3 linked regions of the Cricetulus griseus genome follow. The protein of the gene in region 1 interacts with the protein of each later gene in a pairwise test. Links are inferred from orthologs where the notes say so. Each region holds a gene or a part of one and is shown in the gene's direction. Other genes may lie near its edges.

Region 1 (3,648 bases):
TTGCTGTCAGTAAAAGACTCTCAGGTGGTTCAGGTGGTTCTGGATGGTTTAAAGAACATCCTGATAATGGCTGGGGACGAAGCAAGCACAATAGCAGAAATCATAGAAGAATGTGGAGGTAAGTGGAGTTCTACAGTACTAGTTCCTTTAAGCTTAGTTTATTAGACAGTTGTTATTAAGTGTTCAGAGGATTTTGCTGGTCTTACCTTATTAGCATTACTAAAGGATTTTCACAAAAAATACAGTAGTTCGTACTTTAGAAATACTGGTCATGGGGCTGGAGAGATAGCTCAGAGGTTAAGAGCATCACCAACTGCTCTTCCAGAGGTCCTGAGTTCAGTTCCCAGCAACCACATGGTGGCTCACAACCACCCCTTATGAGATCTGGTGCCCTCTTTTGGTGTGCAGATATACATGGAAGCAGAATGTTGTATACATAATAAATAAATAAAATATTTTTTTAAAAAAGAAATATGACCAGTATGGAGTCAATTTTCCTGGAGATTGATGAATTTTAGAAAGTACTCAGTATTACACTGATTTGTTTTCCATTGCCATATCAAAAATATCTGAGGCTGAGTGCTTATAAAAAGGTTTATATAGGTCAGAATTTTAGAAAGTGAAAGTGTAAGACAGAATGGTTGTCCCAGTTTGTGTATAATTTATGGGTATGCATGCCTCTAGTGAAGTCTTCCTGACTGGGGCAACAGGACAGAACACATGGGAGAGAATAAAGGAGAGACCCAGGGACAGATTCAGTGTTTTGTAATAGCTTACTATTGTAAAATGAAACTAAAGATGGTTCTGCAAAAGTTTTGCTAATTTTTCTAAGTACCAGACCCCCAGCATTGAACCTTCTTCAGTAGGCCCCATTTCTTAATGGTTTTCAAAGCCTTCCCAACAAATCAATAGTGAGGACCAAAGTACTGCACAGTGTACAGGAGCATGTTAAAAAGTCCAGTGGACTACTAGAGTAGATAAAAGCTTTGTTTAATCCATTTCTCAACTCTAGACAAAGCCAACACATTTTTTTATGTTGTACATATTACCATGTGTCTGGGTGGACCCTTCTTTGAGAAGTGGTTGCTCAATTGTGTGTCTTGTTTAAATTCTGTAAGTTGGAGAGGCTTTTGGGTTCAATACAAAAGTGTGTTGAGATAATAGGACTGAAGTCATTAAGTATTGTCATTTCTAGTAAGGACATGATGAAACTTGTACTTAAAAACTCTGTTCTTAAAAGGTACCATATGTACTAAAAAGTTTAGTGATTTGTTTGATTGCATTTTTGTTGACTATATGGATAGTTTATCCAGGTTATGCTTTAGAGAACATAAATGCAGTAGCACCACAGATCAGTAAAAACAAAAAGGTTAATGGAAATTTTGCCCAAGATCATATAAATAGCATTTATATAAGCAAAACTCACATGGAGCTTATCGTACTATTTGTGCTCATTCTTGTGTTAAGATGTCCTATTTTTGTTTTTGTTTTTTGCCATATTATGTATCTTAATCGCTGAGCTTTTTTGTTTTGTTTTGTTTTGTTTTGTTTTTTTTCGAGACAGGGTTTCTCTGTGTAGCTTTGGAGCCTATCCTGGCACTCGCTCTGAAGACCAGGCTGGCCTCGAACTCACAGAGATCTGCCTGCCTCTGCCTCCCGAGTGCTGGGATGCCTAGCAAGATGTCCCATTTTTAAGATAAAAATTAGCTTTATAATCAAATTTACAGAAAATTTGAATAACTTAGAGAATTCTTTCTCTTTAATGTTAAGCTGTATTTTTCCCTATTGGAGTAATAATCACAATATATACTATAATCTCATAAAGCATTTTTTATTTGTTAGTGTTGATTCCCATTTCTCCATTTTTTTTTGATTTGTATATTATGTTTTAAAAGTCTGCTATTTCAATATGTTGAAAAAGATACCTCCAGGATAAATAGTAAGGTTTTAAATTTATAAACTTGTACATATGGTACATGAAGTTCATGGTACATTGGAAATATAAAAGATATTCTCAGGTGAGCACAGGTGTGCAAGACTATATGTCGCACTTGATAGAATCAGAGGATCTGAGGTTCAAGTCCAGACTGGACTACAGTCTTGTCTTACATAACCTGAAAAGGAGATCAGTCATGAGTGTTACGGGAACTTCCTTTTCCTGCTCCCTATACCTGTAGGTCATAACCTTCACTTTTGTTTATTCGTTTGTTTTGTTTTGAGACAGAATTTCTCATATAGTTCTGGCTGTTCTCGAACTCACTCTGTAGCCAGGCTGGCCTCAAACTCACAAAGATCTTGGCTATCTCTGTCTCCCTGGTCCTGGGATTAAAGGTGTACGCCGTCACTACTCCTGTTTACTTTTTTAAATGCAGTGTTTTTGATGTAAAGCTTCTATCAATTAAGTTCTCAAAACTTACATTCAGAAAACAGGGGAAGAGGAAAAGATACTATATGAGATAGTGTGATTATATTGAAACTTTTTGGGAGGTTTTCAGACCTTGTACTGGCATTAACTTGTTGCTCTTTGACCAGAAACAAACTCTATTACATCTCTACTGGATGGTTTTGGTGGTTTTTTTCTGTTTCTCCAGAGATCAGGGAATCTCAAATGTTTTTAAGGAAAAAGGAAATAATGGGATGGTGGTTTGGTTTTTATGTGTTACTTTAGACTGTCATCTTTTTTTTTTTTTAAGATTTATTTATTTATTTGTATCAGCATGCACACATTTATTCCAGAAGAGGGCATCAGATTCCACTATAGATGGTTGTGAACCACCATGTGGTTGATGGGAATTGAACCCAAGTCCTCTTAACTGCTGAGCCATCTCTCTAGCCTATAGACTGTCATCTTTAAGTGGAGACAAGGCATATTCTGAGGTTCATAGGGTTTTTCTATAATTAGATTGTGCAGATTCGTGATTACCTTAATTATTTTTATATTCTTTGTCAGGTTTGGAGAAAATTGAAGTTTTGCAGCAACATGAAAATGAAGACATATATAAATTAGCATTTGAAATCATAGATCAATATTTCTCTGGTGATGATGTAAGTAAATACTAAAGTACAGATGTCTGCGTGTAGATTGATATAATGGCCATTTACTTAGAATTTTTCTCTTATTGTTAGTGTGCGTGAAATTTGTAATGTTTTCTGTTAGATACTCCATTAATCACTTTTCTTACATACTTTATCCAAAATTTCACTATAAGGTAAAATTATAAAAGCATTTCTTGTTACAGTTTTAATCTATTTTCTGGAAAGAAATAATTCTGGAAATGACATTCAGATAGATGAAGTATATCTGCAGATATAGGAACTTAAGCCAGGCACTTTTTAAAAATGCATATTGAATTGTATTTGTTTAATTTCTCAATAAAATTATCACTCATTTATCTGGGTGTTTTTAGGCAGTTAAAATATTCATTTGGAGTTTCCCCTTTATTTTTATAGATTGATGAAGATCCTAGCCTCATTCCTGAAGCAACACAAGGAGGTACTTACAACTTTGACCCAACAGCCAACCTTCAAACAAAAGAATTTAATTTCTAAGGTCTATTAAGTGCAGCACCTTTTATTCAATACAAACACCACCAGATGGCCACCAAGCGATAAGACAGCAAGCAACAGAAGGCTCCCAGCTCTCTTGCC
Region 2 (3,748 bases), about 9.2 Mb from region 1:
TCATATTCCTTGGCTCCAGATTGCCAGAACGCCAGAATCCCTACCTGTCGGATCCCTCGTAATGCTTACACACACACATAGAATAAATAAAACGTTTAATTTTTTCTTTTATTATTATTATTATTATTTTGTTTTGTTTTTGAGACAGGGTTTTTCTACCTAGCTCCGATGATCTGAAACTCCCTCTGAAGTCCAGGTGGGTGTCAAACTCAGAGATCCACATGCCTCTGCCTCCTGAGTGGTGGGATTAAAGGCGTGCACCGTCATCACTACCTGGCCAAAAAAAAAAAAAAAAAAAAAGCCCCAAATCAACACTCCCAAAAATCAACATCCCCCTTCCCCAAATTTAAATCAGACTTTCCTAGATCTAGTGTATCTCCTTGGGGTAATATCTCCCTTTCTAAGGGGGCTGTATACATTTTGGTGTGCTCAAGGTTCCTCCAGAATAACCAGAAATTCACTGGCAGGCCAGGCCTGAGGGGATTGAGTGGCCGTCAGACTATTGCAGGAAATCGGAAATTGAGGTGGCCGGCCATTCGGTTTGCAGATTTTGCAACCGACTTGGAGGGGTCCAGGTAACAGGAGAGGACTAGGTTTGGAAGGAGCTGTCTAGCCTCGTGGGCTGAGAGGCCACCTCCTCCCGGCAGCTCACACAATGTGGAAATGAGAAGGATCTGAAATTGAAAAAAACTGCAGGTCTGTCTTATCTACACTCCAGGCGGTCTAGGGATTACTCTCTTCCCCACGCTCAGGCTTACTTTGGTTTTCCTTTTCCTAGGCCCGGGGCGAGGGCAGGCCCTTTGCACCCGCTACCAGACTCCACCCAGACTTTACCACCCCCGCGCCGCGGAAATGCAGTGATCAGGGCGGATCTAGGCAGTCCACTAAGCGCCGATAGGCCGACGCGGCGTCAGTCAGGCCCGCCGGTACCCGGATGAGAAGCTGTGCGCGATACAAAGGCGAACATTCCACCCAGTTTTCCGTCTGGTACAGTGGCCAATGACCATCCTTCATACCCTAAGTGACAGGAAGCTCCACCAATTACTAACGAGCTTCGGTGACGCAGGTGGAAATTCTCGCAACTAGACCAACCTACTCCCGATCGCGATTGGCTAGCACTGTGAGGAGCGGTAGCGCCATCTAATGAGGAGCGGGAGCGAGAAAAGGCTCAGCCAATAGGAACGCCCCCAGGAGCGGGGCGGGGCTGGACCTTCGCCTCGGCGGCAGAGGAGCTCGGGGGCCATTTTGTGGAGCGCCGGAGAGCGAACGGTCGTGTGCTGCCTGCCTGCAGTCGCTTCGGAGTCTCCGCACGGAGCCGCAGTAGGAGAGGCAGTGTCTTCTCTCTCTCTCTCCGAACTCTTGGTAAGCGGAGGGGCCGAGTGCAGGGGAGGCGCGGGTTCGTGGGCGCTGCGAGCGGGTGTGGGAGCGAACGGCCTGGCGGCAGGAACGGCGCCCGCGTTGGTTCCCGTGGCCCGGGGACCGGGTCTAAGTCGGGCGGCGCCAGGCCTCGGCTCTGGCGCAGGTTCAGCCTGGTGACCTCCAGGCCGCGGGCGGCGCGGAGGATACCCTGCCGGCGCGCTCGTGTCTAACGGCCACTTTGCCTGCCTTCGACCGCCAGGACTCGGAGAGGGGAGCGTGAAAAGGAAGAAATGCAAGCTTGTTACCCTAATTGAGGTTTAATGTCTTAACGATTCCGTTATTAAGTCTTCTAAGTTCAACGTCGGGCGGGGGTGGCGGAGCGTTACGCTGATGATGTACTGGAAGCTTCCAAATTCCGGGCGGGCCACATGGCATCCGAGCGGCGTGTTAACAATAGATCGAGTATTCATTACTTTTTCTCCCGTAGGAATAAATGGTAGAAGGCGGAGTGTTTTCTGTAAAAGGGAAGTGTCACGGGTTAATTAAAATTGCAATAAAATTGCAACTTACCTTTTAATCTGCAGATTACGAATTACTTGAAATATATGTTAGTGGGACTTTGCTTGAGGTAGGTACTGCTGTCTTGAGAGAGAAACGATAGGTAAATTGGTTGACAGTATTTACTAAATTAGAGCGACTAAGATATTTTTAGGTAGGTAAAGAATACTGGAATACTGTGTACGAAAAAGACAATCGAGTTTTTAGGGGAAGCTGATAGCGAAATTAAAGGTAACCGGAGCAAAACCAAAATAGTCTTTTCCGGATATTCCAATATCCTATCAGTTCTAAACTTGGTAATAAGGAGTTTCCAGCCAGGTGTGGTATTGCATGCCTGTAATTCTTGCATTCCAGAGGCCATGAGACAGGAGGAGGATCAGTATCCATTGCAAGCCAGCCCAGAACTACACAGTAAAATCTTGGTTTTTTTTTTTGTTTGTTTGTTTTTGGCTGTTTGTTTTTAAAACAGAGGAGAGCTCCAAAGCAGTTTTTAAAAAAGCAACCCTCTGGGCCGGGCGTTGGTGGCGCACGCCTTCAATCCCAGCACTCGGGAGGCAGAGGCAGGCGGATCTCTGAGTTCTAGGATAGGCTCCAAAGCTACACAGAGAAACCCTGTCTCGAACCCCCCCCCCAAACTATTAACTCCCAGCCATTTGTTACAGCTGTTGCTAATGTAGCCCAGTGGTAGTGCTTAGGATGCAAGGTGCCCTTAATTTAATCCCCAGCACTAATAGTGTAGGGTGTCAGTTTATCTGGGAGTTAATTTTTTGTTTTAATTTTTATTTTTTGGGGACCTATTTTCTCCCTTTAGCTTTTGAGCCTGTCCTGGAATTCCCTCTTTAGACCAGGCTGGTCTGGTAGAGCCGCCTGCCTCTGTATCCTCCTGATCCTGGGATCAAAGGCCTGCCCCGCCTCCGAGCCATTTGTTTGTTTTTTCAAGGTAGGGTTTCTTTGTATGACTTCTGGCTGTCCTGGAACTTGCTTTGTAGACCAAATCTGCCTGCCTCTGCCTCTTCAAGTGCTAGGATTAAATGTGACCATCACTGCCTGCCAAGCCTCATCATTTTAAGGTGTGCCTTAGAAGTAGAATTTAAGAGTAAGATTTTGCTCTGGTGAAGTGAGAAATGGGTAAGAGAAATAGCTAGGAAGGCATCCATCAAAAATAGTGTTGTAAATAAGTGTCGGAAATTAGTATGCAAGAAGACTACTGGCAGTAGTTGAGATTGGTTAAAAACACCTGCCATTAAATGTTAGACATACAGGCCAGGTATGGTGGGGCACAACTTCAGTCCAGCGGAACTCGCTGATAGCTTATGATTTTGAGGCCAGTCTGGTCTACAAAGAATTCTCAGGCCTGGTGAGACCTTGTTTCCTCTATTTTTAGTCCTTCAAAAGTGTTAGAAATGTGGATTTCTGAATGGGAGGCAGAGGCAGGTGGATCTCTGGTGTACAAAGCTACATAGAGAAACCTAAGTGTTTGTTCGTCTCATTATTTGCTAAAGCTTCATACACTCAACTCATCGGAAGATTTATGGTTTTGAAACTAGATTTACTGGAGAATTGGCTGATTAAAAAACAACGTTCAGGTGTAGTAAAACCACAGGTGTTTCAGTAAAGATTTTGAAAAACTACAGTGGGTATAGGCTCCTGGTTAAGTCTTTACAGTTCTCAAAAGACAAAAGCTGATTTTCTGTTTAAAGTATTCTAATTTGAACAGATTGCTGTGCTCTTTACTACCAGTTTCTAATTGAGTCATAATTGTTACCTAGATTTTGTTTTTTTTGGGGGGGGGTTCCTTGTGTAGCCCAGGCTGTCTTGGAACTAGCTCTGT
Region 3 (3,748 bases), on another chromosome or scaffold:
CCGGACTGTCAGACCTCTTCCTGTTCCAGTGGTGTCAGAGACGGGTACCGCTCTGGACTTTGCCAGGCACAGGGTGAGCAGGTCCAAGAGAGGCTGTGGAATAAAATGGGTGGGAAGGATAGGGACCCTGGGAGCACTCCATCTGAGTACTCCCTCGTTTCTACCTCCCTGTACTGGGAGTTCAGGCTGACCTTATTCCAGCCTTGACCTCATTTCCACTCATCTGTTGGACATGCCAAGTCACACTGAGACGGGTAGGAGAGGTCACGCAGCAGGAAAATTCGACACAGAATGCTGGGGATAAGCTACAAAAAACTCCCACTTCATCCCACTTTTGAAAGACAATACAGTAAAAGTTAGACTACTGCCCCATCCCAAGTATCTAGGTGCTTAGAAATGTTCTAAAGAGCTGGGTGGCTCTGGCCTGTCTCAAGGGATAATAGTCAAGATGGCAGCCCACTCAGCTCAGCCCTATGAACTGAGGATTAGGCTAAGCAACCTCTTGGGACACCAGCAACTATCACCACTACTGCCTTTCCCTTTGACTCCTGTCTGCACCCCTCCCCCAGGCTACTGGCATATTTAATTGGCCTCTAGAGGAGAGAAAGCGTGGCTAAGATTTAGGTCTCAGCTCCTAGCAACCTCCCTGTAAGCTGATTTGTCAGTGAACCCCAAGTTTGTCCTAGGGCGTCCTAATCTCTACTATCGTCCGTCCGCCGCCCCCCTCCCGCCCCTTGCAACCTGTTCCCTGCTTGGGTTGGCTGCTGGTCTGAAGGACTTTATACTCTTATGTTGTGGGCCCCTGGCCAAGGCTGTTGAGAAAACTGCAGCATGGCTATCAGGGCTTCAAGAACATAGGGAAGGAAGTGAGCGTGCAGCAGCCCAGTGGATTCTCAGACTCTGGTTCCCAGAGATGAAAGAGGACAGCCCCGGGCCTAGAGGGGAGTTGTGTGTGGCCTTAAATAGTGGGGTCGGTGTCCAAGCACGGCTAGGCAGAGCCTAGAGGAGAGGCCTCGAATCTCTGCAGCCCCAAACAACTTATCCAACATCCAGAGCCCACCACGTCTCTAGATGCCAAGAGCCAACTAGGACTTAAGTCCCCGCCCCCTTTAGGAAGCCAACCGAGTACAAGATCAGATCAGCACCACTTCTGACCAGGAAACTTGTTGACGCCCGCACTGCGTGGTGACGCACTTCCTTCCAGTGACGAACCCTGCTCAGACGGCTTCCGACAGGCGGCGCTGGAGGCCTCAACCCTTTGCGATTAGCAGTTGGCCCTATGTACAATGGGAATCGAGGCTCTTGGCTCCGCCTCTTCCTCTTTCGTCATTTCCGGGTAGATTTCCGTGTCCGCTCCAGTCTTACGGGATGACGTATACGTAAAGGTTACACCTCCCGGCAGGCATTACGCATTGGCCCATTGCCTTCTGGGAGTTGTAGTTCCTTGGCCGCTAAAGTTGCAGCATTCAGACAGCCGGAGACTCGGTTTCCCAGAAAGCCGAGCGAGAGTAGGCGGGGGCCACGGCCCGTACCTCGAGAAACCGGCGGGACGCTACGGTAAAGGCAGCTGGCTGTTGTAGCGTGAAGGGACGGTGGAGCGGTGAGCGCTGGCCTCCTTAGGACCGTGCGACCAGGCCAGTCCCCTGCCAGCTCTCCCTCCGGAGCCGGGTGGTGCCTCCGGTGGCGGTGTGTACCCGGAGAGGCTGCGCTCTGTGAGAGCCGGTGATGAGACGAGCTGATGGTCGAGAGCCTCTGTCTCCAGCGTCTCCTAGCGCGCACCCTTTATATGTCCGCACTGTTCTGATCTCATGGTTTGACTCTCTGCTTAACCCTATCTAGACTGCAGCTCCACATCAGTGCGTGCGAGGACACACTATTCGCCACCCAGCTTCGCGAGGCCTCCGCCCGCCTGCGTGACCAGCCAGCGCCCGATTGCGAGCAGAGGCGCCTGGCACATAGTGGAGGTGAAAGTGGGGGAGCCTGGGAGAACGGGGGTGGGGGGGAGCTGCCCAAGTACACCCCTCACAGCAGAACCTGGGCTGCTTCGCTACAGGTCGGGTTCCATGGCGGAGGCGGAGACTGGCTTGGAGGCCGAGGAACCCACCGAAGATGACACCCTGCCTTCTGACACCGTCTCCCTCAGCGACTCGGACTCGGACCTCAGCTTACCTAGTGGTGCTGAGGTGCAAGTGTTGTCCCCGGAGAGGATTTCTGGGGAAGCCCAAGAAGACTCCGGCCCTGATGAGCCTCCCTCGCCCCCCACGGGCGTCCCCACCACCGCAGTTCAGCCGTTCCACCTCCGCGGCATGAGCTCCACCTTCTCCCAGCGCAGTCACAGCATCTTTGATTGTCTGGAGAGTGCAGTCCGGCAGGCACCGCCCTCTGCGCCCCAAACCAGTGTGACTGAAAATGGCAACTTCAAGCGACCTGTGGCTCCCCCAAGTCAGACTCCAGCAGGGAACCTGAGCAGGGTGCATGGGAGTACGGGCCCAACCAGGGTACCTCCTGTGCCCGATTATGTGTCACATCCTGAGCGTTGGACCAAGTACAGCCTGGAAGATGCGACTGAAGTCAGTGAGCAGAGCAATCGTGCTGCTGCCCTGGCCTTTCTGGGTTCTCGCAGCCTGGCATCCCCCACAGACTATGTACCTTCCTTCAACCAGGACCCCTCTAGCTGTGGGGAGGGGAGAGTGGTCTTTACCAAACCAATTCGAGGCAGTGAGACTAGGGCTGAAAGGAAGAGGGTCCTAAAGAAGGGGGATGTGTCAAATGCTGTGAGTGAGGCATCTGTGGAGCTGGCCCATCTGGCAGGGCCTGAGCTTGAGGAGTGGAGTGGCCACCAGGGACTGCAAGAGGCAGTGATACCTTCAGGAGCTGACCATCCTGGGTCCTCATCAGATCCCACAGGGATGGAGGCTGTTGGTTTCCATGGCAGCAAGAAGCGGAGCAGAGAACACTTCCGGAACAGGGACAGTAACCCGGAGGGGCCAGGGTCTGAGAGGGGACCCTCAGTTTGACTGCAGTGCTATCTCTCCACCTCCTCACCTGCCCAGTCCAGGTGGGAAGCTGTGGGCTATTTGTAGAAGGGGTGTCTGGGAAGCAACTCTGACTAGGACTGTGGGAATTGTGGGACCTTATGCCCCCGTTTCTTGGGGTGAAAAATAAAGGTTTGGGATATTTCTTAAATTTTGTGGATTTTTCTGCTCCCTATTCAAGATGTGTCCAAACAGTCCTTGGCAACTAACTTCAGGACTCCATCCTACACCTGGCTTATCTTGCTCTCCCCACTCCAGTGGGGACTGCTGTAAAGATTTGCCATGATCCCTTGCATTTGCTACCAGTGAACCTACCCAGAGGGACTGGGTTCATAACCATGTCCAGCCTTGTACCCCTGATGGTAATGGACGAACATAATCTGTCCCCCAGAAACCAGCACAGCCTCCACACTAGGCCTGTGCAGACCAGTTTTAGGAAGAGGGTAGTTTGAGCCAGCGAAGGAGTTTGGGCAGGTGTCCACCCAAACTAAAGATAGAGCTGGTGTCCTGGGTGTATGTCTCCAGGATTTGTGACCTCTGTGTAGGACACTGCTGATGCTAATAGGCTGATGCTAGGTCATTTAGCTGAAGCTTAGCCCAGGAGGAAGAGAAGGATGCAGGGAAGACACATGAGTGAGTACTTCATGCCGTGGCCAGGGTCCTGAACCAAGTTAGCTAGCCTGGTACACTAAGTACTAGGTCTGCCCTAGTCT

Evidence for each region.
Region 2: the proteins of Kpna3 (region 1) and Hnrnpc interact in binary tests that used the Homo sapiens proteins (3 or more experiments, as listed by UniProt). The link is inferred for Cricetulus griseus from reciprocal best matches to the Homo sapiens genes KPNA3 and HNRNPC.
Region 3: the proteins of Kpna3 (region 1) and Tssc4 interact in binary tests that used the Homo sapiens proteins (3 or more experiments, as listed by UniProt). The two-hybrid records come from large-scale screens. The link is inferred for Cricetulus griseus from reciprocal best matches to the Homo sapiens genes KPNA3 and TSSC4.

The regions. Positions count from the first base shown.
Region 1 is NW_023276807.1:216,375,446-216,379,093, reverse strand, and holds part of Kpna3 (importin subunit alpha-4), read left to right. Parts: coding exon 1-118; intron 119-2,950; coding exon 2,951-3,045; intron 3,046-3,450; coding exon 3,451-3,549; 3' UTR 3,550-3,648. UniProt on the Homo sapiens protein: Functions in nuclear protein import as an adapter protein for nuclear receptor KPNB1. Binds specifically and directly to substrates containing either a simple or bipartite NLS motif.
Region 2 is NW_023276807.1:207,170,661-207,174,408, reverse strand, and holds the start of Hnrnpc (heterogeneous nuclear ribonucleoproteins C1/C2), read left to right. Parts: upstream 1-1,206; 5' UTR 1,207-1,362; intron 1,363-3,748. UniProt on the Homo sapiens protein: Binds pre-mRNA and nucleates the assembly of 40S hnRNP particles. Interacts with poly-U tracts in the 3'-UTR or 5'-UTR of mRNA and modulates the stability and the level of translation of bound mRNA molecules. Single HNRNPC tetramers bind 230-240 nucleotides.
Region 3 is NC_048596.1:58,316,324-58,320,071, reverse strand, and holds Tssc4 (protein TSSC4), read left to right. Parts: upstream 1-1,412; 5' UTR 1,413-1,557; exon of another isoform or gene 1,558-1,686; intron 1,687-1,839; 5' UTR 1,840-1,964; intron 1,965-2,053; 5' UTR 2,054-2,063; coding exon 2,064-3,017; 3' UTR 3,018-3,186; downstream 3,187-3,748. UniProt on the Homo sapiens protein: Protein associated with the U5 snRNP, during its maturation and its post-splicing recycling and which is required for spliceosomal tri-snRNP complex assembly in the nucleus.